Canis lupus familiaris: one gene and its partners. The protein of the gene in region 1 purifies or fractionates together with the protein of each later gene. This does not show direct contact. Links are inferred from orthologs where the notes say so. Each region holds a gene or a part of one and is shown in the gene's direction. Other genes may lie near its edges.

Region 1 (10,828 bases):
TACCAGGAGATTATATTTTGTATTTGTTTAAAATTAGTTAGGCAGTCAATAGATCTTAAAATACTGCCTATTATTTTTCTAATGAACCCCAAGCCAACAAGAACAATAGAATTAGCTAATCTTGTAAATGAAACGGATTACCTTTACAGTGTGCCTTCAACTGGTCCTTCCAGCCACATTCAATTAATTTAGCTCTCAGCAACTCTTTGAGGCTGTTGAAAAAGAAATGTTTTCATATTAAACTACAACAAGGTACAGTATTTTAGACAGGAATGTTTGAAGCAAAAGTTCAAATGTTCAATTAAAAGTTGGCTGCCTTCTAATCACAAAAATTTTAACTGTGATCTAATCTTAGTTCTATTACTAAATAATTCTTTGGTCTTATGCAAGTCATTTGAACTCTGGACTTCATCTTCATCATCAGTAAAATTAAGTAAGTAGATAATGTACAATAATTCTCAAGAAACTCTCCACTCTCTGGCCTTCTCATACACTTTCTACTTCCACCAACAGTAATATTATGGGTCTTGTGACAACTTCTAAATAGTATTAGTTGAGCTTGAATTGAAGCAGCACACCTCGAAGGTTTCAAACTCCAAAATCTATTCTTTGACTACAGATTCTTATCCTTTCATTCTCTTACTTCCCCATCATATCCCTTTCTAACCTCAAAAACTTCCCCCTTTTCCCAATAACCTTCTAAATTATATACTAAATATGGTATTTAATTGACTCTCAGACTGGTTTTTCCCCACATTTCAAAAATTCAGTAATTGGTATGCCTATCACAATTTAATTGGCGGTATCTTTTTTCCTCCAGCTGGTAAAAATAAATAAATTAATTAATTAATTAAATGGTGTGTATCGCAACTTATGGCAGAAAAAGGGTGTAACAAAGTATTTTCTTATCCTTTTTCCATACTCAACTCTTAGAAATCCTTAATCTTCAACCTAAATCACTTCTCAGCATGAACCTGTCATGTCCCAAACTAAACCACTTCTCTTTCAATAATATTCCCCCCAAATTCATTATGTGACACTTCTATCTGGATATTTAATTAGGTCTTTCCATCTTAATAGGGCCAACCCAAATCCTGCCTCTCTCCACCTCAACCTATTCTTCCTTTCAGAATGCCATTGTCCATCCTGGTTCCTCAAGCTAGAAAATTTAGCATCCTTCACTCAGCAACTCTGTTAACACTATACATATAATCCATAGAAGCAATTCCTATTGGTTCTAGTTCTAAGTATACACTACAATCCAAATGTTTTTCATCATCTTTGTTATTGCTCCCTTAGTCCAAGCCATCTTCTTCTCTTGACTGGACTGTTACCAAAGCCTCTAACTTGTCCCCCTGCTCCCTTCTTTATATACTTTGCTCTCTTTCCTCCTCCCAAAACGGTTTGGTGGCTTCCCAACTTACTTAAAAATTCCAACTCTATGCTACAGCCTAAATGACCCTCCATGATATTCCTCCTCCTCAGCTATGCTTCTGACTTTATCTCTTCTTCCCCTTACCTAATTTATAGAGGGCTCATGAGCCTGCTTGTGGTCCTCAAAATGCCAGGCAAGCTCCTATCTTGGGTTCTTGGCTCTTGGGAGACCCCTCATTCCTTCATATCTTTGACCTCTTATCAGTGAAAACTTCTTTTTCTCTGCCTCAGATACACATCTCATTATTCTCAGTTTTATTTTTCCTCTAGAACTTATCACTGCCTACATAATACAGACTTACTGTCCATCTTCTCCCATTAGAATGTAAGCTCCATGAAAGAACAGACTTTATTTTGTTCACTACTCCATCTCTAGCACTTTAACAGGACATAGCATATGGCAGAAACTCAGTAATTTTAAATTGTATGAATGAAGAAACAACCAATAATAAATAATCCCCTTTATTCATTACTGCCAATACTATATTCTCTCAGTTCCCCAAGGCATTGTTCTGGATGTCTTCTTCCTCATTTCTCACATGGAGGGCTGCTTTTACTTTAACAAATTATAAGTTCTCCCTTCCATTTTTGCTGTTTTACATTTTTAATCTGATACAATCTAACACATTCTTCTGTAATCGACCTCTAGCCCTTCAAGTCTATCTTCCACATTGCCAGCCTAATATTCCTAAAGAGCAAATGTGATGTAGTCATCCCCTTTTCAGAATCTTTTAATGACTCCCACCACCCAAGGATAAAGTCAACAACGGATGTTTTTGCAAATCCATCACCCACTTTCCTGACCTTTCTTTGACACCACTTGTAGTGTAAGAAATCTGCATAGGGTTCCAACAATTGAAATGAGACCTAGGCCAGGTTGACCATAACTGGCCAATGTACCTAAGTAAGATGGTAATCACGCCAGGTACTTTGCTGGAACTACTAGGAGAAAGGTAGTCTGAGCCAGAGGGATATGAATTCTGAACTGCTAATCTTTGCCACCTGGTGGGTAGAGTCTGCTTGAGAATAAAGCCAACACAGAGGAAAACAGAGCTGAGAAAGAAAAAGAAAGACATATACTTGGTAACAATTTTGAGTGCCTGGACCCAGTGGAGACAGATGCAACTTTAAGCCCTAAACTTTGTAGTTAGATGAGCTTATATATTTCCATTGGTTAAGCCAGTTTCTGAGTTCTATCATTTAAAATGAAAGAATTTGGGCTTCTACAAAATCCATTCCTCCTGTCCACTGTTCCAGCAACATCACTCTCACACTTTACCTGCTAGCTTTAATTCTGTAGTTCCTCAGAACAGTATGATGTTGTAACACACCTCTGTACCTGCACATTCTGTTCCATCTGCCTAGAATGTCTTCTGTCCTTTTTTTTTTTTTAATTTTTATTTATTTATGATAGTCACAGAGAGAGAGAGAGAGGCAGACACAGGCAGAGGGAGAAGCAGGCTCCATGTCCTTTATTGGCTGAAAGAACTGCTAATCTTTCTCCCTGAGCTGAAGTACCTCTTTTACTATTTTGTAATTGATTACTTTAACCCCACCCACCATAGAATTCAAAAATCCCTCCAGTTCCTTCTTCATATTTTTCTTATGCAATTCTTCATCCTGTTTCTGGAAGCCTTTCTTGATTCCTGACTCTCTGTTTAATACTTCCAAACCTGTTCATTCTTCAAATATTTACTTGGCTAATTATGTGCTAGGGATGATGCTTAGGGATACACTGGTATTTCTACTGTCAAGGACTTAGATTATATTGAAGGACACAAACAAGCAAAGCAAGTGGATATAATACAATGTGATTAAATGCTTAGATAGAACAAGGTATCTGGGACTAAATAGATTCCTAGAAGAGGTGATGTTTAAACTAAAACCTGAAAAATGAAGTAGACGAAAAGATCAGGGAAGACGAATGTTTCAGGGAGTAGGAACACCACACGCTGCTCTGAGGTTAAGAGTGTAGTAACTGAACTGGTTCTACCATATTTTCTCCCTGTTAAAACTGGGTACCTTTATGTTTTTAATTGCAGTTATTTGGGTATTTTTTCTTTTCTATTAGATTATACATTCTTTGAGAAAGAGTCATTTCTTGTTCACCTTTCTAGATGACTCACTTTCCTTTAAGTAACGAAATACTGAGCAGACCGGTTTTTTTAGAAGTTAGGAATTGAAACTTCTGATAATCTCTATTTGCTGTAATTCCTTCCACTGACATCAGTTTTGTTCCTTGATATTTAGACTCTTATTACATATAACATAACTATAATTTAAAGATGTTAAATGTCATTTATTAACACAATCTCTTGCTTACCGTTCTCTTTCTCCAGTTTCTATCAACTTTTGGTTAATCGCTGCTCTCATCTGCGCATCTTTGTTCATCTTGCTAACCTGAACATCAACATGTATTTTCAGATACAGAACACATAAAAAGCATTTTCTTCTAAACCCTCTAGGTAAGCATCCTAATATACTTAACATCCTATCAACTGAGGGGGTGATAAATTTCAACAGTGTGTTAACAATGTCATTACTCTTAATATTGGTCACTGCATCCCAAGAAGTCATACTGATTAATTCACTTTACAATTTTCCTCCGCCATATACCCTTTATTAATGAGTCTTTGGATAATGATATTTATCGTATCATTTATGCAATACTTATGTGCCCGGTATTGGGCTAACACAGGGGTTGGGTTTTTTTCCCCCATTTAATTCCCAAAACTTATTCTTTCATGTAAGAGTTATTAACACAATTCGTATTTTACAATTGAGAAAACTGAGGCACCAAGATAGCAAGTGGTGAGGACAGGATTTGAACTCATGTACTTTGAGCCCAGCAGTCTCAACACACTTTTAACAGCACATCATAACTGCTTATCATTTCTGCACCGTAACTGCATTCAAAATTTCGGGGAAGCCATATAACCTAGAGAGTAATACAAGATTAAGCACTGTTGGTGAAAAATGAAATTTCCAGATTAGGTTCAAAGTGCTTTACTTTTTTTTTTTTTTTTTTTTTTTTTCCTGTAGGGTGTGCCCAGAATTCTACAACTGCCAAACTAACTCTGAGTATGTGCTTGTGTATGCTCTTCATCGAAGCTTGCTGGTGGAATAAAGGAAAAAAACAAATCTCAAACTAACTCCTAATTTAGAAAACTCTCAATTTTCAGTGAAAAAAGACAACCAAAATCAGAGTGACGTAGAAAGGAGAGGAAGGTTATTAGAATGTAACAGCTGCAATAAGCTCACATTACTGCAGATAATTTGTCACTAACTTGGGACCACTTTTGCTGTGTCCCGTCTCGCCTATATGAAAACTCAAGACTGGCAACTGAGTTTTGAGTTGGGAAAAAAAATTTTTTTGAGTGCAACAGGAAAAAGGAAGGGCTGAGAAATGTTCGCTTGTAGCTGGAGGCTAACATTTTCAAAACAATTCTAAGGTCTAATCGGTACCATTCCTGGAATATTGAACCTGATCTCGCCTTGGCCCCTAAAATACGGATAGTGACCTTGGGCAAGTCAATTCTTAAAGGCCTCAGTTTTCTCACTGGTAAAACGAGGGCGCTAGGGGATCCCTCCCAGTTCAGACATTCTTTGGGAAAATAGAATAGGGCGGAGACAGCGGGAGAGGCGGGAGGGGAGGAGCCAGAAAACAAAGCGTGGACTGGCTTCAGGCCAACTCCGGTTGCACGCCCTGTCGGAGAGCCCTACAGGCCCGCGAGCGCGGGTCGGGGAAGCTAACGAAAGACAGCACATCGAAAGGAGCCTGGGCTGGGCCCGGGTCCCGGCCCTGAGGACCACGGGCATAGCTCACCACCATCACCGCGGGCGAGGGCCGTCCCTTCCCAGCGACGAAATGACCCTTGCGCTGACGACCGTTACCTACCACACTCTTCGGCTGCCCGGACCTAGACCCTCAGTAGCTCGGGCACCTAAGCACACAGAAAGCTAAAACACGCATTTCCGGGGCGGGGTCTCGCTCCCCTGCCTATAAATGTGAGAATTTAACCAGCGCGGGCCGCCTCCTGGTAGCTCAGCCCTCTGGGTAAGAGAGTCCGGCCCATGCTGTCGCTGGGGCGTTAGGTCTCCAAAAAACTACATAGCCCGACATGCAACAGAGTCCACTTTCCCTTGGACACTACATTTCCCAGAAGGCATCCCGCACCGCGCAGTGCTTTCTGGGATGGGAACCACGCCGCCTGCGAGCCTCGGCGCTACGAGCGAAGCGCGGACCTTTCAACAAGAGCTTTATTAATTCTCTCGCTGCGACCCAGGAGGTGGCTATGGAGGTGGCTGCTAATTGCTCTCTGCGCGTGAAGAGACCTCTGCTGGATCCCCGTTTCGAGGGTTACAAGCTCTCCCTCGAGCCTTTGCCCTGTTACCAGCTGGAGCTTGACGCAGGTGGGAAGCGGCGGCGCCCCCTGGCACTCTACTTCTTCCCCTGTCGGCTGCCAGCGGCCGGACCCTTCCCTCATTTTCTTCCTTCCCGAGTTGGGCGAGCAAGGCGTCCGGGGCCTTCCGTCCGGCCGGTCGGGCTGGGGTGGACCCGGATGGGCCGCTTCTGGAGACCGACGCCCATCCCGGCACCCAGTGGGAGTCTCTGGCGCGGCTCTTAGGTAGCTAGACCCTGGGCGGGCCCGGGCTCCAAGGTCCGTCCTGCGGCTCGCGGCGCTGCCTGGGCTCCGGCCGCCTGTCGGTCCCCGGCCCGGGCTGCTGCGGAGAAAGCTCAGGCAGGACTTGCTTTCGCTCTCGAGCATCCTCTGTAACCGTGTGCGTTAAGAGGCCACGCCTCCTCGGAGGGCCCCCAGCTCCGGTTTCCTCTAGCGGAGCCCCACGTCACAGAAGAGAAACTCCCGATGCAGTTCAGAGCATTTTCGGTCACACCGGTGCTGTCAGACTAAAGGCATTATCGTAGACAACATCTCTAGAAGATTTTGAGGACAAGTTGATTTAGTACCTACACTTCTGCTATTTTGTGTATCCGAGGCTAGCCGAAACAAATGCACCCTTGTGAATTGTTTTACGAGGTATAATAAGCATTTTAGTTGAGGAGCCCACAGATTTGCGTTTTTAATACACACCTCTACTGGTGTTGACGCATGTTGTGAGTGGATCACACATTGAGAGATGCTGATCTAAAGAATTTTATCAAATAAGTGTTTATAAAGTTTGTAAACATCTATTGAGAGCCTGTTTCATGTTTACAAGCTGATATCAAGATGAATAAGATACAGTCTGTAGGGATCCCCGGGTGGCTCAGCGGTTTAGCACCTGCTGCCTTCGGCTCAGGGCGTGATGCTGGAGACCCGGGATCGAGTCCCACATCCGGGCTCCCTGCATGGAGCCTGCTTCTCCCTCTGCCTGTGTCTCAGCCTCTCTCTCTTTCTCTCTCTCTCTCTCTCTCTCTGACTCTCATGAATAATTAAATAAAATCTTTAAAAAAAATAAAAGGTACAGTCTGTAACATAAAAGTGCAGCTGGCTACTTGGAAAGAAAAATATAAACATAATTACAAAACTGTGATAAAGCAGTGATTGGGTTATGTACAGACGGTAATGGTAGTGGTAATGGTAGTGCTTACGTATCTTTGCAGACCTGCCTGGGGATCTGGGAAAGCTTCCTGGAGCTGATATCTTAAGTTGGGTTCTGAAGGATAGGTAGGAGTTGACCGGACTAAGCTAAAAGGAGCTTGGTTTTTCATCCCTTCCTTTCTTTCTTCCACCTCATGTCAGTAAATGGTACCACTGTGTTTCGTTTATGCATTAAAAAAAGCAACCCAAAACTCAGTGGCTCAAAACGGTAAGCAATTACTGTTGCTCACAAGTCTGCAGGTCGGGTAGGTGTTTCTTCTAGTGTTGGCTTGGACTCATTCTTGTGTCTTTGTTCAGTTATGCATCTGCTTGATGGCTCTCCTCATCTTGGCTATACTTCCTCACAAATTTGGAGGTTCTCTGGCTACAGACTAGTATAAAATTATTTCAGATGCTTTTGCTTAGCTCTACTCCGTGTGATCTCTCATTAGCCCAGGCTTAATCCAAGAGAAAAGGAGCAGCACACAGGCATTTTTTCAAGCTACTGCCTGGAATAAGTTTGCTGTTGTCCCATTTTTCCAAACAAGTCATATAAGCAAGCTTTAAGGTCAGTATATAGCAAGCTCATAGCAAAGGGCATAGATTCAGGGAGGCATAAAAATTGGGACTATTAGAGCAGGTCTATATATATAGTTGCTTATGTTGGAGTCATGAAGTATTTCTTCTTTTAGTCCCTCTGTTCAGTCTGTCAGCAATATAGTCAGCTCAAGGTTTGACTTCTTGCCTCTACCCTTCTCCAAATCAGTTATATCTTACCTGAACTATAGTTTATTGACTAGCTTTCCCACCATTCCATTCTCCTTCCTTCCATTCCCTGTAAAGCAGTATCATCATAGTTTTTAATTTTCTATTTATTTGATATCCTGTTTCCTCCACTAGACTGTGAGCTCCCTAATATCAGTAATATTTTCTTTTGTTCACTACTCTATTCCTAGTGCTTAGCATTGTAGGTGCTCAATAAATTGAGTGAATGAAGAAGAGAAGGAGTTGTTATTGAGGTCATTCCATTCCTTAGAAAGCAAGAGCAATGGAAAAGAGTAAGTTGTGTGTAGGACACTGATGCAGCCCTGTGTAACTGGAGCAAAAAAATCTGGAGAAGTAGAGACCACTTAGAAAAATAGGTGAGGGCACTGTTTGTCTTGTGGACTTTATCCACACATCTGGGGAGTAAGTCACTGTTTCCCAGACATTTTCTTGGGCCCTAATGATTAAAAAATAAAGCTCAGCTGTCAAAGATTTGCCAACTTTTTAATTTGCCAAGGGGAGATGTTTCTTTTTTTTGTTTGTTTCAAGTTTATACTGAAATTCTATTTAGTTAACATATATAGCGTAATACTGGTTTCAGGAATAGAATTTAGTGATTCATTACTTATTATAATGCCCAGGTCACATCACAGGTGCCATCAGTGCCCATCACCCATATAACCCATCCTCTGAACACCTCTCTTCCAGCAACCCTCAATTTGTTCTTTATAGTTAAGATTCTCTTATGGTTTGCCTCCCTCTTTTTCCCCCTTCTCCTATGTTCATGTTTTGTTTTTTAAATTCCCCATATGAGTGAAATCATGTGGTATTTGTCTTGCTATGACTGACTTGTTTCACTTTGCATGATACACTCTAGTTCCTAAGTGGAGATGTTTCTTAAAAACTGATGTCCTCACCCATTCTTTCATAAACAAAAGGATATTTTAACATCAAAAAAGCAGAGAGCAAATTCTCACAATAGTCCTCTAAAATGCATTAGCTTTATTAACTACTCACTAAATGGTCCTTGGTCTCTCCTCTTTTCATCATTGTTGGTTTTGGAGTCTGTGTTTGCGATGTACAGTTGGAGGTGATGAGGTCCCATTTAGGGTTTTAAGTATAGAAAAGAAAGAGATTTAGAGATTGAATGGTTTAATTTTAGATTCTGTGAAGATTGAATTTGGAAGATTGGAGGAATAGGACCAGGGAGACCAGTTTGGAGGCTTTTGCAATCCTTCGTGTGAGGGGCTTGCATTAAGAATTACTACTTGAGGAGGAGGATGGAGAGCTTAATTCTTTTAAAAACTCTTTTCTAGAAATAATGAAGTATGATTGAAGAGCTCCTCTTGGCAACTTGGTTTCTTTTATGCTCCCTAAGGAGTTTACATTAATTCAGCAAGATGTTAGTGACTGGTGTGTGAAGCTGTGCATTTAGGATGTGAGGATGAAGATGTGCTCTGGTTTCAAAAAGCTTGGAGTACTGGTCTATTTTTATTCTCTTGTTTTAAATAATGTTAGTAAATTGTTCTAAAGTTCCCTTTGCTACATAAACTATAGCTGTCAGTCTGTGTATTCCAAAAAATTAAGCAAACAACTCTCTTTTTTTATAAAATTGTGATTGTTCTTTGACCCAGCAATTCTAGTTCTGGGCATTTACCTTATACAGATCTTCCTTGACTTAACAATGGAGTAATGTACAGACAAACACACATCTTAAATTGAAAAATGCATTTAATACATCTAATCTACATAACATCATAGCTTAGCCTAGCCTACCTTAAATGTGCTCAGAACACTTGTACTAACCTACAGTTGGGCAAAATCATCTAACACAAAGCCTAATTTATAATAGAATGTTGAATGTCATGTAACTTATTGAATACAAAGTGAAAACCAGAATGGTTGTATGGGTACGGAATGGTTGTATGGGTACGGAAAGTGGATGAGCTGTTTACCTTCATGATCAGTCACGTGCCTGACTGGGAGTTGTACCTTGCTGCCATGGCCCAGCATCACCAGAATATCCTACTGTAATATCGCTAGCTTGGGGAAAAATTCAGAGTGCAGTTTCCACTTTTACATCCTTGCAAAGTTGAAAAATCCTAAATTGAACCATTTTAAGTTGGGGACTGTCTGTACATATTTTTTTCCTAGAGTCTTCATTCTGTAAATGTCTTTGTATATGTTTTCCCCTTACATTTCACCTAGCTAACTCATACTCCATTCATTCATCTTGGTTTACATGCTACTTATTCAGAGATTCCTTTCTGGACTATCTAGTTAGAATCTATACTACAGAATCTGTATAAATTAGAATCTGTAGTCTGTTTTCCTATTATACCTGATCATAGACTTTATCATACATTGTAGCATTCAATGTCTATTTTCTCTTTTAAGATTATTGGTTTTGTTAGCGATGGTTCTAATGTCCATATTTAAGTGCTTTACTTTGAAAGGGCTGGAGCATGCCTGGTGATTAATAAGTGATTTTATATCACACATATTAAATAGGCTTATTAGGATAATTGATAATAAACTGCATGTATTTAAGTGTACACGTTGGCAAGTTTTAAAATATATACACACTACTCCTGAAGTCCTCACCATAATCAAGATATTAAACTTTGTTTTCTTCCTCAAAACTTCCAGTGCCCTTTGTAACTAGCCCGCTGTTCCTCCACTTTAATCCCAAGCAACTGTTGCTGTGCTCTCCGTCATTATAAATTAGTTTGCATTTTCTAGAGTTTTATATACATGGAATTATACAGTATGTACTCTTTTTTGTCTCACTTTTACTCAGCATAATTACTTTTAGTTCATGCTTGTGTGAGAGAGGGATATTGAAACCTCTGGCTATCATTGTGGATTTTTTTTCTTTTCAGTATTGTCAGTTTTTACTTCATATATTTTATTTTATTTTATCTTATTTTATTTATTTATATTTTTTAAAGATTTATTTATTCATGAGAAACACAGAGAGGAGAGAGAGAGAGGCAGAGACACAGGCACAGGCAGAGGGAGAAGCAGGCTCCATGCAGGGAGCCTGA
Region 2 (10,102 bases), on another chromosome or scaffold:
TCCCCCGTAAAACATGCTGAGTATATTTTACCTTGGTGCTCTCAAAATCTTCTCTTTGTCTTATGCTTTCAGTAGATTGGCTATGGTGGGTCTCTGTGTGGATCTTGTTCTGTTTATCCTGCCTGGGATTTTTTGAGCTATTCAAGTGCATGGATTAATGCTTTCATCAAATTTGGACAATTCTTATTCATTATTCCTTCATATATTCCTTTTGCCCCTTTGTCTCTCTCTTTTTTTTTTTTTCTTCATTTTATTTATTTATTCATGAGAGACACAGAGAGAGAGAGAGAGAGAGAGGCAGAGACACAGGCAGAAGGAGAAGCAGGCCCCATGCAGGGAGCCCAATGTGGGACTCGATCCTGGGACTCCAGGACCATGCCCCGAGCCAAAGGCAGGTGCTAAACCACTGAGCCACCCAGGGAATCCCCATCTCTCTCTTTTCCTTCTGGGACTCCTATTATGAAAATGTTCATGCCCTTAGTCATATTCCAAAGCTCTCCAACGCTCTGTTCTTTTTTTCCATCCTTTTTTCTTTATTTTCTCAGCCGAATTGTTTCCATTTACCTATCTTCAGGTTTACTGATTTCTTTCTACTACCAGTGCAAATCAGCTGCTGAATTGCATATTTGAATTTTTCATTAGTTATTGCACTTTACAAATCCAGAATTCCTCTTTGGTTTCTTTAAAAATACCACCACCACCACCACAACAAATGAACCCAAAGTCACTTCTCTATTGATATTCTCTCTTTGGTAAGGTATGATTGTCAGGTCTTTAATTCTCTTTAATTCTTTTAAATGGTTTTCTTTATTTCTTTGAACATGTTTATATTCATTGATAAAGTCTCTGCCTGATACATCCAGTACCAAATCTAATGCCTGGCCTTCCCCAAGAATAATTACTATGGACTTCATACTTTACTATTTCTTTACATGTGTCATAACATTTTGTCAAAAACTGGACATTTTAAGTATTGTGGCAATGCTGGTAATTACATTGCCCTCTTGCCCAGCCTCAGAGGTTATTATTGTTGCTGCTTATTGTTTTTTTAGTGACTTTCCCAGACTAATTCTGCATAGGACTCTTTGTCATATGCAGTTACTGAAGTCTCTGCTTGATTATGTCATCAGGTAATGAGTTGACAGATTTTCTTAAATGATTTAAGCCAATAGATTTCCCAACTCTTTTTCTAATGGGCACTTTGTGTGTTGGGGCATGGCATCCATGCTCTGGCAGTTTACAGCTCTGCCTTAGCCTTCGCTTCCTATATGCACAGAACCTTGAAGTCAAGCATGGGTGAGAGCTTAGGGCTTGTCTTGTCTTTCCTGGGTATTTGCACAGCCTTCTACATATGCACAGACTTCTGGATCCCCAGGAATATGTCAGAAATTGCCAAAATCTCCTATAGAGATCTTGTTTCTCAAATTTTCCCTTTAAGTTTTTTGGCCAGCCTCTTGTTTGCCCTAGGTGGAATCATTGCCCTTGGCAACTGCAGTGTTAAATAGTTGCCACTAATTTGGGGGGACAAACTTGCTGAGGATAGGGCTTTCCTCATTGACTGAGCTCTGAGTCAGATGAAATAAAGATTAGCTCCGTGAATGGGGCTTTTCTCGGGAGCACCAGTCAGGTCAAATAGTTACAGTTCCCTGGGAGACAGGGCTTTTGAGGGTGCTCCAAACCCATCTGCCTCTTCCAATGGCTGCTAGTCTGTTGGCTTTCATAGCTACTGCAATTCTGAGGCTGCTGATTTCCAAAGCTACCATGAACCTGGGAAGAGGGAATTGAAATAGAGTAAGGGAAAACATCAGAAAGTTTGCTGTTCTTCTGAAAATTCGTCTGTTTTTCGTGAATAAATGTTTCTAGGATTGTTGCAAGTCTTTGGCTAATTTCTAGAGTGCTCAAAAAGTTGATTTTGAAAATTTATGCCAGTGTTCTCATTGCTTTTATGGAGGAATGGATTTTCAGAGGTTCTTCATCCATAATTCTGAAAGTACTTTTGATCTGTCTGTGTTTTTAACTGCTATGCATATCGCGCTTGTTCTTTTTGATATCTAATGATGTGTTATGTATATTTGTTGTCAGCCATGAAAGTCCACTCTTTGATTTCATTGAGAGCTGCTTGCGAAATAAACATGAAATGGTTATTTATGAAGCTGCGTCAGCTATCATCCATCTTCCTAACTGTACTGCAAGGGAGTTGGCACCTGCTGTTTCAGGTCAGTTGTGTATTTGATAGCTAGGATTTTGTTTATATTTGCATGTTTTTGTTTTAAGTTCCACAGTTCTGCAGGATAGGTAGTAAGAATGATTTTTGAACCTTAGCTTTAATATATACACCTTTGCATTCTAACATGTAGATGATTTATTTTTGTTTTCATTAATTACCTCTTTTTCTGAAGTTACTATTTCCCTATATAAAACATTAAAAACCTTTTACTTAGAAGACAAGTAACTCTCATTCCTTTAGTTCTTTCATATTTAAAAAGCCCATTTGCTCTTATCCCTACAAATATTCCTACCACAAATTCAAGTATTAATGCCTATATGAATTCTTATATAAAAATAAACTTTGTTTTCTGGATTTAAACTTTTTATAGCTCAACAAAAAGTGTTTTTTCTATTTTTGATAAGTTTTTCATGTGAAGCTTTGATGCTGTGATCTAATTTCCTGATGCATACTTTGAATATAATTATGTACTGTATTTTCAGATATATGCAATATGATGAAATGAGCTTTATTCACAAAGATCTTTTTTCTTTCTAGTTCTTCAGCTTTTCTGTAGCTCTCCTAAGCCAGCTTTGAGATATGCAGCTGTGAGGACCTTGAACAAGGTAGGTGTCCCTTTGCCAACTACTGACTTATATCAATGTTTGATTGAGAAACATTACATGTGAAGCATTTGACTTTCTCCCCAAGATAGAAAGGTAGGATTTATGGTCTTCACTTCTAGAGCACCTTCCTTGTATTTGTGGCCTTATGTATGGCTACTTTTACCATTCAACTAAAGATTATAATTCATTTCTGACTTTCAAGCACTTTATGGCTGAAAACCACATTGTCCAATAGGATAGCCATCAGCCATGAGTGGCCATTTCCATTTAGATTAATTAAAAATTTAAAAACCCTGATAATTTAGCTCCTCAGTCACTCTAGTCATACTCCATCTGCTCAGTAATCATGTGGTTAGTGACTGCCATATTGGTCAGTGAAAAAATATAGAACATTTCTATCACTGTAGAAAGTTCTCTTGGACAGTGCTGGTGCAACACAATGTGAGTCACATTTGTAATTTTAAATTTTATAGTAACCACAGTAACTTCTCCCTCTGTGTCTCTGCCTGAGTCTCTGCCTCTCTTGTTCTCTGTGTCTATCATGAATAAATAAATAAATCTTTAAAAAAATTTTTTAAAGATGAAATTAATTTTAATAATATATTTTATTTACCTTCATATATATAAAATGTCTTGTCAACATGGAATCAGTGTAAAATTATTAAAGATCTATATTGCCTTACGTTTTTTCATACTAAGTCTGTGACATCCAGTGCTTATTTCATGTTTAGAGCGTATCTTAATTTGGACTAGCCAGATACCAAGTGCTTAGTAGTCACATTTAACTATTGGCTACTATATTGGATGCCACAGGTTTAGAGGATACAGTTCAGAAACATAGAATGAATCAAAGAACCATAAACATTTGAAATGAAAGTTTAATGTAGAAGAAGACTTGTCATAAGGCAGTATGTGATCTATTACAAATTAATTGCATCTTTACTGGAAAACCAAAGAAGAACCTTCACAGAATTTGAGTTATACTTTTAAGAGGTGATATAGGTCCACATGCCTTTAGCTATAATCTTAAGGACAGATGTGTCTCAGAATTCAGTACTTTATGAATTTTGGGAAGGCAATATGGTGCTGTCTCTTATATATTAACTCCATTGAGCCTAGAGCAGTCCCCTACCATAAGGCACATTAATATTTTTTAAGACATTAATATTTCTTTGTTATACATATGACTATCCTCACTAAGTGGAATAAATTAAGATTTAACTCATTTTATATTATTTTGGGTCAGATTTTCCTGTTAAATGAGTTTTGATGCCAATACTTTGCTGAGTTTTCAAATTTTTTAAATCGTGGGTAAAGGATTCTATACCAATATTGAGACAGAGAGGTGAACAATTTCGACAAAAGCAAAGAAGCAGGAGAATGAGACATGTTTTAGGGAGTGTGAGCAATCCAGTTTGGCTGGAGTTTGTTTAAATACAGAAGTGTTTTCTAAGTGATAAGATATTAACAGTCTTTGAGCAGTGTTTACCATGGTAGATCCTTACATCTAGTAGATCCTTACATCTAGTAGCGTATATATCCATGTACACATGTATTATAAACAAAAACAGGTCAACTGCAATAAAATACAGGCTGTGGTATTATTACAAAAATTATAGAAAACTAGAGACCTAGGAAGAGAAAGTGCTATGTTACACTATGACTCTGGCAGGTGTTTGTCAAGTGATATATTATGCCTTATTAATTGAAAATGTTCTTCTTAAAACAATTACTTTTGACCTATTTAGATTTTTTTTTTATAATTTTTTTTAAATTTTTATTTATGATAGTCACACAGAGAGAGAGAAAGAGGCAGAGACATAGGCAGAGGGAGAAGCAGGCTCCATGCACCGGGAGCCCAACGTGGGATTCGATCCCGGGTCTCTAGGATCGCGCCCTGGGCCAACGGCAGGCACTGAACCGCTGCGCCACCCAGGGTTCCTGCGCCACCCAGGGTTCCCCATTTAGATTTTTAAAAGCCACTTACCTTGATTAAAATATCTGTTTTCCTCTTCCTTTGTTTTTTAAAGTTCTGGTCTTCATTAGTAGCAATTTGCTTAATTTATTTTTCTTGCCCTTCCACAAGGTGGCAATGAAGCACCCCTCTGCTGTCACTGCCTGCAATCTGGACTTAGAAAACTTGATCACAGACTCAAACAGAAGCATCGCTACCCTGGCCATTACTACACTCCTCAAAACAGGGAGTGAGAGCAGTGTGGACAGGCTTATGAAGCAGATATCTTCTTTTGTTTCTGAAATCTCAGATGAGTTCAAGGTAAAAGTTTAAATATGATCATGTTTCTCCCAGTCTCTGGCTTGCCTGTTTCTTAACAGTATCTTTTGATGAGCAAAAGTGTTAAAGTCTAATTTATTAATTTCTTTCTTTCACTGTTATATTGCCTTTGTCTACTTCCAAGCCTTAAAGATATTTTCTTATGTTTTCTAAATGTTTTATGGGTTTAGCTTTTACATTTTGGTCTATGACCCAATTTGAATTAAATATTTATATATTGTGTATGGTAAGTTCAAGGTTTTTTTCCATACTAATATCTAGTCATTCCAGCATAATTTATTGAAAAAGACTTCTTTTTCCCCACTGCAGTGCTTTGGCATCTTTGTCTGAAAGGCAGATAACTATGTAATTGTAGGTATATCTGGGTTCCTTATCACATTCTGTTGATCTATTTGTCAATCCTATGCCACAATGTGTTGATTAATGTAGCCTTATGGTATCTCTTAAATGTCAAGCCATGTGATTTTCCAACTTTGTCCTTTTTTAATATTCTAGGTCCTTTACATTTCCAAATAAAGTTTAGGATCAGCTTATAATTTCTATGAAACAAAGTCTGCTAGGATTATTCTTGGGGTTATGTTGAATCCATAAATAAATCTGGGGAAAACTGACATCGTAACAGTAACATCGTATTCCAGTTCATGAATATGGTATGCCTCTCCCTTTATTTAGGTCTTCTTTAATTTCTCTGAGCAGTGTTTTATAGCATTTACTATATCAGTCTTGCACATCTTTTGTTAAATTTGTATCTAAATATTTTATGCTTTTTTACTCTATTAAAATTCCTATTTTATTGTCTGCTAGTAGTATATAAAAATACATATACATATATGCTTTATCATATATATTATATATAATATATGTAAATATAATATTTAAATATTAAAATATAAATATATTTAATATATAAAAATATTTTTTTCTCTTTGTCATAACTTGGTATCATTGCTCAGTACCCTTATTGGTTCCAGTAGTTGTTATGTATTCCTTAAGGTTGTCTGTAAATAATCATGTTATCTGTGAATAGAGACAGTTTTGCTTCTTCATTTCCAAACTAAATGCCTTCCCTTTCTTTTTCTTGCCCTATTAAAGTAACTAGGATTTCCACTATAGTATTGAATAGAACTGGTGAGAATGTGTCAGAGCTGATAGAAGAACAGTAAAATAAATCTCAGTTAAAAGAATTAAATTAGAAAGAGTTTATTATTTCATTCTTATTCAATTCTCAGTTAAGAAGCATAACTGGCTCTATTTACTCTCTTCTATATATCTAGATCTTTTCTGAGAGAGAGAGCACAGGAGCAATGGTGGGGAGAGGCAGAGGGAGAGAGAATCTTAAGCAGGCTACATGCTCAGTGTGGAGACTGTCAAAGGGCTTGATCATGACATGAGCCAAAATCAAGAGCCAGATGCTTAACTGACTGAACCACCCAGTCCACGCCTATATCTAAACTTTTAAAAAACAAACTTAGCCTATATATTCAAGTAGACATTTTGAATCTTGGGGAACTATGGAAGATTATAAAGGTCATTTTGTGGTATAGCTTACTGAATGAATCTCTTATGCGTAGATATTTATAATTTTCAATATTTTGCAGTCACAACTAATACAGTGGATAAACTTGTGTGTGTTTTCTCAGAATGTTGTAGGTATATCTCAGGGTCAGTTCCTAGAAGTTCATGTGCTAGGTTGAAGGGTAAATGAAAGTGTAGTTGTGTAGAGAATGCTAAATTCCACCAGCATGTGTAAGAGTGCCAGTTTCCCCATAGCCTCACCAATAGAGTATATATTATGTTTTGAAGTTTTGCCAACCTGGTGGGTGAAAAAGTATATTTCAATGTATTTTTAATGAATTTCTTTACTTATGAGGGAAGTTAAACATCTTTTTACATTTTTAAAGATCATTTAATATTTCTTTTTGAATATCATTTACTCATCTCTTTTCTCCATTTTCTAAAGAAATTTTGGTCTTTTGTTTCCTCAGTTATTTCAGGCTTTTTATGTATTAGGGATGTTAGTTCCTTATGAAATAAGTTTTGATATTTTCTCTCAGTTTGTCATTTGCCTTTTCTTATGTCTTTTGTTGTGCAAAAGTTTGTAATTTTTATGTAGTAAGGTTTGTCAATCTTGTTGCATTTGACTCTTGGGTATTAGAAAGCTTTTCCTCCAAGGACGCCTGGGTGGCTCAGTTGGCTAAGCATCCGATTTGGGCTCAGGTCATGATCTCAGGGTCATGAGATCAAGCTTCACGCTAGGCTCCACACCCAATGTTCTCTCTCTCCCTCTCCCTCTTTCCCTCCTCCCACTCCTTTAAAAAAAAGAAAGGAAGGAAGAAAGGAAGGAGCTTTCCCTTCAGACTATAGAATCTAATTGGGCGAATAAGGATTCACTTATGATTTCTTCTAATACATACATAGTTCCATGTTTTCATTTAGATCTCTGATTCATTGGATTTTATTATTATATATGGTATGAGAAATTGGATCTAATCTTCTCCTTTTTCAGTGATTATCCAGTTGCCCACCCCCCCCCACCAATTTTATTTACAAGACTGTCTTTGCCCCAGTGATTTGAGGTACCACCTTTATCATATGTTAAAGTTCCATATGTATGTGGGTCTGTTTTGGGGCTTCCTGTTCTATTTTGTTCTTTATTTATGTATCAGTACCACACACTATTAAATATACAGGCTTTTGTAGGATGTATTAGTATCCCTCAGTCCCCTGACATGGCTTTGTTTTCATTGTTTCCCTAGCTATCCTTAACGTGTTTATTTTTCCTTATGAATTTTAGTATTGTCTAGCTTCATGAAAAATCTCATTGGCATCTCTATTTGGATCACATTGAATTTATAAGTTAACTTAGGGGAGAAGAGACATTTTTTTTTAAAATTTATTCATGAGAGACAGAGAGAGAGAGAGAGAGAGACACAGGCAGAGGGAGAATCAGGCTCCATGCAGGGAGCCCGACATGAGACTTGATCCTGGGTCCCCAGGATCAGGCCCTGGGCTGAAGGCGGCGCTAAACCACTGAGCCACCCGGGCTTCCTGAGAAGAGACATCTTAGATGATGTTGAGACATCTTATCCAAGAACAAGGGTTATCTTTTCATTTGTTCAAGTCTACTGTTGTGCCTTTTAAGAATCTTTTATAGTATTTTTGTTAGTTTTAAATGCTTTTAAAATGCTTTTCGTATTTTATCTTGTTTGTTGTTGCTGTTAAAAATGATTGTATCCATTATATCTTCTAACTAGTTATGCTTATACATGCTCCCTTTGTATAGTGCAAGATCTCTTCCAGTCTCAGAAGATACAGTGTCTCCCTCTAAAAGGGGCAGATTTCTGTGCAGCAGTAGAAGATATAGCTAGTGCTTTCCCTAGAGCAAAAAGCAAGCATGCTCACTGTCCAGGATAATAAAGATGTTTCCCTTCAGCACAAAGGTCTGGCATGCTTACTACCCTCTGTAAAATATTTGAGTTCCACACCTCGGGGTTCTTCTGTAATTAGAGCTACTGTGGCCCTTTACACACTGCCCTCTGCGAATTGGGGCTGAGGAACCTGGCCTCAATATGCTGATATTCTATCCACTGCTTTTGCTGTATTTAATTGTCTTTCATCTCTGATCCAGGAGTCTTGTGTTCTCTCTACCAGCAATCCATGAAATTGTGGCAGACTAACTTGTTAGCTTGTGGGTAGGGGAAAATCTCACACTGCTCACGTCTTGATGCTGGTCTTCAGAGTTGTGGTAAAATTTTCCTAGAAACCATTTTGTGAAGTAGTTCCTTGGTAATTTTCAATTTCTTCTAAGGAGATTGTGTATGCTTTTTAAAAAGAATTAATTTTTTTATTTGAGAGTGAGAAAGCATGAGCAAGCAAGGGGAAGGGGCAAAGAGGGAGAAAGAGAATCTCAAGTATGGAGCACGACGTGGGGCTTGATCTCAATGACCCTGAGATCATGACGTGAGCCCACATCAAGAGCCCGACTGAGCCACCCAGATGCCCCTCTGTTTATGCTTTTAATCTTTACTCTTTACTTTAAAGATTTTATGTGCTTACTGGCTTGGAACAAAGGGTTGGGGTCTCTTGGATGAATTTCATTTTTACATGTTTTTTTTTTTTTTTTTTAACCTATCTTTCATGAAGGGCCATTATTGCCATTCCAGGTAACGACGGCACCGCCTTAGCTCCAACAGTAAGAGGGAAAGTATACCTGGTAGCTGAAGGTGTAAAGATGAACGTCCTGTCTGTGTTTGTTTTTCCACAGGTGGTGGTTGTACAGGCAATCAGTGCTCTCTGTCAGAAATACCCTCGAAAGCACAGCGTCATGATGACCTTCCTCTCCAACATGCTCCGAGATGATGTAGGTAGACATGTTTTCATCATAGGAAGTTGCCCTCTTAAATATTTACAATTCCCATGAAACACCATACATTGTGTTTAAAACAGTTTTATCATCTCGGCATGCCCCCAAAATGGTATGCTTAATTCTGGTTGCCATCTTATCGTTACTAAATGTGCTATTGTTTTAGTTTTCCCACTTGGAGAAAAAACACTTTTGTTTCTTTCAGAAGGGAAAGGAAATGAAATTTGAATATTAGAAGCTTGAGCCTGGGAGTAGAAGCATTTCTCCAAAAAGCGTCCTCAGAATGAATGGCAGTTTTCTCTTTTGCCAGGGAGGCTTTGAATATAAGCGGGCCATTGTGGACTGCATAATCAGCATTGTGGAAGAGAACCCTGAGGGTAAAGAAGCAGGTCTAGCCCACCTTTGTGAATTCATTGAGGACTGTGAACACACTGTTCTGGCTACTAAGATTCTACACTTGTTGGGCAAAGAGGGCCCCAGAACACCTGTCCCCTCCAAGTATATCCGCTTTATTTTTAATAGGGTCGTACTGGAGAATGAGGCTGTCAGAGCTGGTGAGTCATTGGAACACTGATACTGATGTAACTGTTAATCTTTTGAATGCTTATTAACTC
Region 3 (10,102 bases), on another chromosome or scaffold:
GTTTACTCAAATTTACTCATATGCATTTTTTGACTAAGACTTAGAATTGCTATTTTATAGATTTGATGTTATTAAAATCCAGGAACTACTCTTTGATTTTATTTAGGTTTCATTAATTTTATCCATACAAATAGCTGATTTTTCTGTAGCTTATCTTACAGTTTACTAATTAACATGGCTCAAAGCATACACTGCTCAATAAAAAAGAGAAATGGCCCTTGTGGAGATGGTTCTATAGTTTTAAAGAGAGGCTTAATGATCCACTATCTGAAGATAACTTAGTGTGGTACTGCTGGGATGTGGACAGATAAAGAAGTTAATGTCCTTACTGAATTGGCAACCCCCACAGAATTCCCTGGGGACTGAAAATCCAAACTAGTTGAACCTAAGTGCATTATTGTGTCCAAATAGAATTCAAATAGAGTAACTTAGGGTACTCTCACTTCTACTACTTCTAAGTGGAATTATTGAAATAAATCAAAGTGGATTTCATTGCGAGGCATGTTATTGAGGGGGAAACACTTATTTCCATGTTACAGTCTAGAAAGCTTGTATCATTTGTGTATATTCCCATGTGTTGTATGTAGATCCCCTGACCAAATTCAGGATCACTTTGTGTTCTGAACAGTTCCTAATTAGATCATATGCAAGCTACATCTAGAACACACTTAGGGCTTGCATTAGTCTACTACTAAGGTTTCGAGGAAGCTAGATAACTTTTTATCATCTCATGTATTTGTTCTTGCGCATCATATATATATATATGTTTTCTTTAGCCATAGCTAGAATTACCTCTCCAGCTTTAGTAGTAAAGTCATTAGAAGAAGCATTCTTGAAAGTCCTACAGTTTGTTACAGGAGTTTTCCCCCTTTTTGTCCCCAAACCTACCTCCCATGGTTTACGAGCCCTGCCTTTTTTTTCATAGTACTTTAATAAATCAGTATGGCAAATAAGTCCTATTCAAAAAGCTTTTATTACCTTAAAGCTTTTTAACCAATTTACTTTTAGTCCTTGGAAGAAAGCCTAAGGTCTTTTTTTTTTTTTTTTTAACACCTCTGTTTTGGAGTTTGACTTTTGGTTGGCAGTAGACTATCGATAAGGACATGGGGTTTGCCAGCTTGGCATAATCCTGTGATTCTTAAATCCACAGTTCTTGTAAGTATTACATTATTTGCCACACAGACATAGCCAAAGACGCATGCACACCAAGTGAAATTATTTTCTAAAGAAAAATTACTTTAGGGGTGCCTGGGTGGCTCAGTTGATTAAAAGCCTCCCTTCTATTGAGGTCTTGATTTGGGGATCCTGGAGTCAGATTCCCTGCTCATGGGGGAGCCTGCTGCTTCCTCTCCCTTTGCCACTTCCCCTGCTTGTGCTCTCTTTCTTTCAAATAAATAAAATCTTTTAAAAATTATTTTTAAATTCTGAAGAATTGATCATAACAAGAAATTTTTCCATACTAACTGTATTCTGTTTTAGAAGAAACATGTGAAATGTATTTTTTTATTTCCTCCACTGCTCTAAATCTGTATCCAAAACTATTATAATATCACCCCAGAATTCCAGAAAACCATAAGACCTTTTATATAATCACAAGCATGTCACTGGTTCTGTAATAGGTTTATAAGGACTTTCTCTATTTATTGCCTAATTTTGTTAACAGTTTTGTCTTAGCTAGATGAATATTCAGGAATTATAAAAGCAAATGGAGATTTGGGAGTGTTAAAACCTTTAGCTACTTAGGTTGGCTTCCAGGCTCTGTCACTGACTTCTAAATTCATTGCTCCTTCCAGGTCAACGTACTTGACTTTGTAGAAGAATATTAAACTCAGGATATTTATTCAAATTCACCTGTCAATTTCATAGCCTTGTTTTTTGTTTTTAAGATTTTATTCATTTATTCATGAGAGACAGAGAAAGAGAGGCAGAGACACAGGCAGAGGGAGAAGCAGGCTCCGTGCAGGAAGCCCGATGTGGGACTTGATTCCAGGTCTCCAGGCCCTGGGCCGAAGGCAGGTGCCAAACCGCGGAGCCACCCAGGGATCCCCTCATAGCCTTGTTTATGTTTGCTTTGGTTCTAATTTTTGAGCCATGTGCGTGCCATCTTAAAGGTACTGAAAACTGTATTTGAGTAACATTAGATGACCTGCGTTCCTTATCATTTGCTAGTTACCAGTCTTTGCAACTACACAATACAAAAAAAGGAAGGATTTTTGGTTTTAGATGTGTGAATGATTCTAAAATATTAACCTGTCAATAGGTCTCTAGTAAATTTTCAAAACCTCCAGGATTTCCTGGTGGTATGAGTCCTTTTCGTTTCTCAGATGTGCCTATGGGCTTTTTTGCCTGTATGTCATAGTTTAAGCTGAATCTTCTACTCCTAGTGTTCTTGTTCCCTTCTCTCTCGTGGTAGATTCCACCTTACTCTAGACAACTCAAATGGTAAGTTTCCTTGGTCTTAACTGTGGAAGTAAACCCTTTTTAAGTCTCAGGGTGAGTCTATGGTGTCATTTACACTATGCATGTGTAATCTTCCTTCACAGGCTGCAAGAGCAGGCCCTGTATCTGATTCATCTTTTTTGTCCTCTGCTTGCATATACAGGCATTTTCACTTAATGGCACTTTTCTGTTCCTGAAAAATCAAAGGTTCTGGGGGAAAAACAATCTAACAAGAATCCCATTTTCTTATCGTTAAATAAGAAAAATTATGTGACATGTTATTCTCAAACCCCAGCCAGTTTCCTAAAATAGATCTAACATACATCACACGCTTACGTAAAGAAAAAAACAAGGGATCATATTAGTATGTAAATACTTGAAACGTTTTTCCCTGGCAGTAAAAGGTTCAAATGATTAACAGTTGCTTTGAATGCAGTGACATCTTCTTTGAAATTGTATACTTTCTAAAACATCTGCATTTGATTCTGATGATGTGCCAATGCTTCTTAGATCTTAACTTGAGATTTTGTCCCCCTGTGCCCTCCTGTGCCATTTTGTTTTAAATGTTTAGTTTTGGTGATACAAAGTTCCCTTTGTAAATACTGCCAGAAAATACCAAAAGATATACATGTTTTGTGGACTTTGGATAATAACCAAAGTAGTGTTCTGTCAGCAAGACATGTAAGGCAAGCTATTATACTGTTTCATCGATAATTTTTCTCTTGATGCTATCTTTCTGTTTAAGTAATGAAAACATATGTGATTGAGTGATAACCTGAAATAATAGCTTTCTTTGAAAAAGGAATTTGCTATGATGGACTAAATGAGATTTTGAATTAAGATCTTAAATATTAATTTGTCTTTGTATTGCATTGCATTGGCCATTGAGGATGAAACCTTATTTCTAGTTTACTTACTGGATTGAAATTCATTAGTGAAAGGTCATGGCTACCCTTACGGTTTTTTTCAATTTTACTTCATTTATAATATAATTTATATACTGTTTATTTCTTAACAGGTAGTTGTGTCAACTAACATTGCAGAGACTTCTCTGACAATAGATGGTGTGGTATTTGTGATTGATCCTGGATTTGCAAAACAAAAGGTACATACTTTAATACTTTAGTTGTTTACTTTATTAAATTGGTGTTAGCTTAAGAGTACATACTGTGTTGTGTACTTGTTCAGTGACTAGAATTTACTTTTTAGAATTATTTTCCTGTTGTCTTGTGTTTTGTTTTCAGACTTTGGTGATATGAACCCTTTCTGTTCTTAGCTGACTATCCTTTATTAAACCCATGCATAATGTTGAATCCTAGGCCTTTTTTTTTTTTTTTTTTTTTTTAAGGGTGCTTTGGGGTTTTTTTGTTTGTTTCTCTGTAGCAGTTGGAAGTGTTTCGGTTTCTGTGTTCATTTAAGGAGTATGAGAGTAGTAATAAGAGGACAGGATTGTCATTCTTGTAGGTTGATCACCCAGTAAGATTAGAGTTTCTATTATGTGTTGGGCATAGTATCTGAAAAGGTTTTAACGTTATCTTCTAGTTGAGCAGTGCTGAATACCAAGCACTTTGGCCAGAGGAAGTGACTACTCAGGAAATAACTGGTGATGTTGTATGATTCACAGATTTTTAAAATTACATTTGGTTACATTTTATAGGTATAATTGGGAGAATTTGTTGCATGCAGTATTTATGTTTCTGATGGAAATTTTTCACTTTAAACTGGCAGTGTGTAACTGACCTCTGAACTGAGTTCAAAATATTTTTCTTGATGTTCACACTGAACATCATCAGGTATTGAAATTGACAGGTTCTTTACAGGCAAAAGCCTTCAACACTGTTGATCCACTCTAAAAAAGCAAAGTAAAGCTGGTAGAACTGAAATTAATTTTCAGTTAGGAGGAGTAAGGATGATGTAAGCTTTTAATTAAGAAGAGTGAAGATGATGTAAGCTTTGTGTGTAATAGATAAGAACCTTTCCATGTTAGCTTGAGTCTTCAGAATGATTATTTCAGAATATCTGAAAGAAAGTTAAGGCACAACCAGTTCTCAGTTTCTGTCTCTGATGTGCAGCCTTCATCACTATACTGCTTTGTTTATTTTGAGATTAGCTGTGGACTTTGCATACAGATTACAGTTTTGTGGTTAACTGAAGGAAAAATTCTTACATTATTTTCATTCTTATAGGTGTATAATCCTCGAATCAGAGTTGAGTCTCTTTTGGTAACAGCCATTAGTAAAGCTTCAGCTCAGCAGAGGGCTGGTCGAGCTGGGCGTACAAGACCTGGGAAATGCTTCAGACTTTATACAGAGAAAGCTTATAAAACAGAAATGCAGGTAAGAGGTTTTGCTGTATCCTTCCTGTGTTTGGAAGGTTAAGTTGAATTTGTTACCAGAAGAAAATTGCTTTATTTACTTCATCTTGCCTTTTGGCACCATAAGCGCCTTACGTTTTCCCTGAGTGAGATTTATGGTGTAATCTACCAATACAGCTCTCTGTTAAAATTTTAAGTTGAAGTGAACAGTTCGCAGTAACACTTTCAACCCTGTAAAGATAGTTCACAGAAGGTGTCTGATTCCTTTCTGGTATATTCCACCAGTATTCTTCTCCTGTGGATCAGTGGTTTAGAAGTAATGCCAAAGTAAATAGCTAAAGAGGCAGAGAACAGGTATGTTTTGTTTTCTGGAGCAAGAGGATTAAGGCATGTTTAACAATAAACACTTTTGTTTTTTGCTAGGATAACACCTATCCTGAGATTTTGCGTTCTAATTTAGGATCAGTTGTGTTACAATTGAAGAAGCTTGGTATTGATGATTTGGTGCATTTTGACTTTATGGATCCACCAGGTATGAATTCTCAAAGCATATTTTAGCAAGCCTTTTAACCAAAATTCACTATCTCTACATCTTATCTCACACACACACACACACCCTTTACTTTTTCTTGTAGTATGCGTCAAGAAAAGTCCTATATGTTAGTATTAAAACTAAGAATGACAACTATATGAGAAAGTTTTTTTTTTTTTTTCTTTCCTCAGAGTAACTAAATTATCCCGGGAATTACTGACCCAGCAGGAAAATGAGAAATTTCTAATTTTTCTTTTTGTTAGGAATTAATTTATTTAGGAAAATGACAGTTTTAACTACTGTGCAGGAAAATATTGCAAATTTATATGAATTGTTGTTTGCTAGAACTCTAACTGAATTTGATGACAGTTTGAGTTTGGTCCACTGAAGAATGAAAAATGAGATTGCTTATAATAGTTTGTACTTTATCACCTTTTTGCTTGTTAAAGCAGTTTGTCTAATAGATTGCCTTTTCCCCCAGCTCCTGAAACTCTGATGAGAGCCTTAGAACTTTTGAATTACCTGGCTGCTTTAAATGATGATGGAGATCTGACTGAATTGGGATCCATGATGGCAGAGTTTCCTCTAGATCCACAGCTCGCTAAAATGGTTATTGCAAGTTGTGACTACAACTGTTCTAATGAGGTCCTATCTATTACTGCTATGTTGTCAGGTAATAGAGGGAAAGGAACTAAAAAAAGCCCAGCTCTTCACAGTTTGGGTGGACTTCACATTTGGTTTTGTTTTTTATTATTTAGTATGATAGTAGATTTTATAGATGGTTTTGAGGAGCTCATTTTGTTTCCTAAATATCTTGTAAATAGATTTATGAAGATACAGTATTTACAAAAGTAAAGTAATTGCTTGTGCACAAAATATAGTAAAAACATTGGCTCTCTTGAGTGCGAATAAAAATTGCAATAAGAAAAGAACAAGTCTGAACACAATTGTAACAGTTCTTTGGTAGGTTCATCAGTTTTGCGGTTTATTACTGAAAGTACAAGAAGAACTTTGTTCTAGTACTTGGCACTATTAAGTGAGCCTGGGACAAACCCAAACTATCATTTAAATTGAACTTTTCCTACACATATAAATAATATATTCTAGTGGCAGTTGAGCAAATGTGAATTTCAAACTTAGTATCAAATAAATAGAAGTAGTAATGTGTAATTTTAGGTTTAAAATCTCATCAGATCATAATTCTTTTACAATGGCAGAAAACAGTTGATACGTGAAAGACACCTAATAGATAATATTGCTGATTTCGGAAATTGGAGCATTAAGGTTAACAAGTCATGCTGTTTTTAGTAGCAGTAAAGCGTATCCATCAATGAATTATAATTTGGAAATTAGATTTTCCAAAAAGAAGAAATATGATTAACAGCTTTACACTGATTCTTACAGCTAAAAAATAGAAGACATTTTATATTTTTACTGATGACCAAAGTACTCTATACTATACTACTAGTTCCAGTACTGGGGAGAATGACTTCAGTTTCAGAGTGGTTTATTAGTCTATAATTATAACCTAATGCCTCAAATAATTCAAAATCTTACATGGAATTAAAAGATAAATTGAAAAATTTTATAATTATAAAATTATGGCTTAGTTTAGATGTATGATATGTTTTAATGGTGTGAATTTTTTATTTAAGAACTAGCTAAAAATGTTTTTTTGCAGAGTTATGACTGATCAGACTCAGAGCAGATGGGCAGGGCAGTATCGAATCATTTTAATAAAATTGTAGTCTCACTTGCGGAGGTGGTGGTAGGTTGTTGTCTGCCTTTCTTACATGTTTTTGTTAGATGCTCCCAGTTGGTACTTACCCAAGATTTTAGTTTTAGAGAAAGTGTGGGGCAAGGGTTAACAGATTGCATATTTATTTGTTATCTGCTCAGATTTTATTCTTCCAGTTTCTCTTATCAGGCATACTATATAATTACCATCGTTTGAGTCTATATTACTAGTTCTTTAAAAAACTGGTCATTGTGACGCAGTTGAAATCTTCCACCTATATCTCTTATTTGTAATAAGGAGCTCTGTACAACACAGGAGTTTATTAGCACATCAAGAGAATGGACATTTATGTTTAGTGATTATTAAGCAAGGCACTTGTCGGGGGCGGGTATTAAAAGGTGAGGAAGAAGTCACAGAACAAAAACAGTTTGCCAAGCTTATACTGTTTTGTTTTTCATTTAAATAGTTTTTGACATTTTCAGGTCCTGATATAAATAGTGCAAATCAGGGGCCTTATAGAGTGCTACTTATTCCCACTGTTAATTCTGGGAGCTAGTTCACTTTTACTTTCGTATCTTTGAGAGGTTTCTGTACTTTCATGAATTAGCTTGCTTCAATTACATTAAGCAAGACATTTAATTAATATTTATTGTGATCATGTGTCATTGTCTCTATTTGGCTTCTTTGGTATCTTTTAAAGGGGAAACTGTATGGGAAAGTAATTTGATACTGTATTTGATCTTGTTGTTGATTATTCCCATTATCTTCTATCTGGACTGATTCATTTATACTTTTTTATATTGAAAAGGTTTTAAGAGCTTTAAAAATGTGTTGACAAAGTCCCAAGCTGTTAAGTATTTTTACTTTCATACTGCTTTTATGACTATGGAATTGCTAAAGTGAATTAAGGAAAGTTGTATTTTAAAAATGTAGTGCACGCTTTGTAACAACTTAAAATTTTATGTGAATTAACATCGAGGCTCTAAACAAATACTGTAGTTACATATTTTGATGACCCTTGAAATAATGACTGTTTCAGACTAATTGTCAACTTTCAAATATTGGATTTGGTTTTTATATTGAGGTTTTGATTCAAATAACCAAATAACAGTTTTTTTTTTTTTAAACTTGGGACGTCATTTTCTAATCTTTTTATTAAAATGCTGGAAAACTAGGCTGAATTTCCTCAGCCTTTTTGAATTTTCTTAATTCAAAGGCGGTTTAACCTTCCACCACTACTGCTATCATCAAAACCCAACATTTCATGATATTTTTTATGTTTCCATATGCTTCTGCTCACCGGTGCTAATAGTGATACCCACCAGTTGGTAATAGCCATAGCATTAGGGAAAAAATTACAATAGAAATGTGGCAATAGACTGGCTAGAAAGTGGTTTTTAGCCCTGCAGTGGGCAGATACAGCTTCATAACTTCCATAGCCATTCAGTGGATTCAGTGGATGGCCTTTTGAAAAATTACATTTAGCTTAAAGGCTATTGACACCATAATTCTGGTTATTGGTAGAGCTATCGGCACTGGTTTTTGAAATAAGTTGAGCTTTCTATTTCTAGTATCTTGATGGCCTTCAGAATAGCTGTTTGATGCCTACTTTTAGATCTAGTTAAAATCATCAGGTACTCTGTAGCTTTGAAACCCTCTTGTCTTACAGATGTGGTTAGGTGTTGATGTACCAAATCAAGGTAGTAAACAGTCCAAGATGCAGTTGGAGGCCATCCTGCCCTGCCCTATGCTCTGTGAACTGACCTAGCTAGGCCTTGTTCCTCTATCTGTGAATGCGTGACTCATCGATATGGGCGTTTGTGTTGGGCCCATACCAACCTTGTTTAGTCCCACAGTGTTTTGTTCGCCCCACGGAGGCCAAGAAAGCCGCAGATGAAGCCAAGATGAGATTTGCCCACATAGATGGAGATCATCTGACACTGCTGAATGTCTACCACGCTTTTAAACAAAGTAAGTGTAAATTAGATTGAAGGCACTCTTTTGTCTAAATGTCACTTGCAGTATATAAGATGTTTCTTCATCTCACTTTCATTTATTATCTGTGACAACTTTACATTAGAAACCCAGAGGTACTTTAGAAAAAACTCCTGACTAGCATTTAAAATGGAAATTGTCTGTCTTTTTCAAAGTTGTTTACTCTTATAATCAGTGGGGAAAATACCTATTATAGAAAGCTGGAAAATGGAGAGCGTTAAAAACAAAATACCAGTATAATATTTACCACTAATACACAGATTTTTATATACTTTGTTTCACTGTTTATTTTCATTCGTTTTGTGTGTTTAGTTTTGTATTATTTATAGAATCTTTACTGTTTAGTAATTTTACTAATAAGTAGCTCTTAAATACAAAACTAAGAAAATAGAAAAATGGGCTGTAGATGTGAATCAGCGTTCTCAGTCAGGCTTCAAGTGGTCTGTAAACATGAGGAGGAAAGTCAACTCTACTTGTAGTTCAAGAGCATTATTATCTAGGGGTACCATTTTCTCACCTACAAAATTGGCAGAGGTTAGGGCAAAGTAGTCCTTAGCTATGTAGGAGTGGGTTTAGTGAAACAGTCCTACAAGAGAGGTGGAACTATAAATTGATGTGGTCTTTGTGAAAAGCAGTAGATTTTATGTTACTGAGAAAGTTAAGTTCAGATCCTGTGACTCAGAAATAATCTATGAATAATCTGTGATCTTCCAGTATCCTGTGCACACAGATATAATTAAAGATTTCATCCCAGAATTATTTATGATAGTAAAAAAGGGTGGGAGGGAATTACCTTAATGCCCACCAGTAAAAAGATAGTTCAGAATTTATGCTATAGCCACATGATGAAATACTGTTCCAGGCTCCATCCCAGGACCCTGTGATCATGACCTGAGCTGAAGCAGACGGTTAACTGGCTGAGCCACCCGGGCGCCCTGTTCTAGCTTTAAATCATGTTTTCGGAGAATATTTAGTGACATGAAAAACATTTTCCAGTTGTTTGAAAATAAGGAAATACAGTCATAATGAAGTTATTGCCAGATGCTATTATTGGAATCCACCATTTATAAAAGTTAAATGAGAG

What was found.
Region 2: the proteins of NUDCD1 (region 1) and COPG2 purify together in Homo sapiens (co-immunoprecipitation; 3 studies listed by BioGRID and IntAct, with this or other methods). This does not show direct contact. The link is inferred for Canis lupus familiaris from reciprocal best matches to the Homo sapiens genes NUDCD1 and COPG2.
Region 3: the proteins of NUDCD1 (region 1) and DHX15 purify together in Homo sapiens (co-immunoprecipitation; 3 studies listed by BioGRID and IntAct, with this or other methods). This does not show direct contact. The link is inferred for Canis lupus familiaris from reciprocal best matches to the Homo sapiens genes NUDCD1 and DHX15.

The regions. Positions count from the first base shown.
Region 1 is NC_049234.1:10,120,100-10,130,927, reverse strand, and holds the start of NUDCD1 (nudC domain-containing protein 1), read left to right. Parts: upstream 1-5,543; 5' UTR 5,544-5,555; coding exon 5,556-5,847; exon of another isoform or gene 5,848-6,186; intron 6,187-6,453; exon of another isoform or gene 6,454-6,473; intron 6,474-10,828. Other genes in the region: transcription and mRNA export factor ENY2, read right to left, coding at 142-212, 3,758-3,834, 5,261-5,266.
Region 2 is NC_049235.1:6,235,429-6,245,530, forward strand, and holds part of COPG2 (coatomer subunit gamma-2), read left to right. Parts: intron 1-2,082; coding exon 2,083-2,216; intron 2,217-2,764; coding exon 2,765-2,832; intron 2,833-4,918; coding exon 4,919-5,107; intron 5,108-9,389; coding exon 9,390-9,485; intron 9,486-9,798; coding exon 9,799-10,042; intron 10,043-10,102. UniProt on the Homo sapiens protein: The coatomer is a cytosolic protein complex that binds to dilysine motifs and reversibly associates with Golgi non-clathrin-coated vesicles, which further mediate biosynthetic protein transport from the ER, via the Golgi up to the trans Golgi network.
Region 3 is NC_049224.1:86,189,421-86,199,522, forward strand, and holds part of DHX15 (pre-mRNA-splicing factor ATP-dependent RNA helicase DHX15), read left to right. Parts: intron 1-3,457; coding exon 3,458-3,544; intron 3,545-4,625; coding exon 4,626-4,775; intron 4,776-5,176; coding exon 5,177-5,285; intron 5,286-5,766; coding exon 5,767-5,958; intron 5,959-8,871; coding exon 8,872-8,994; intron 8,995-10,102.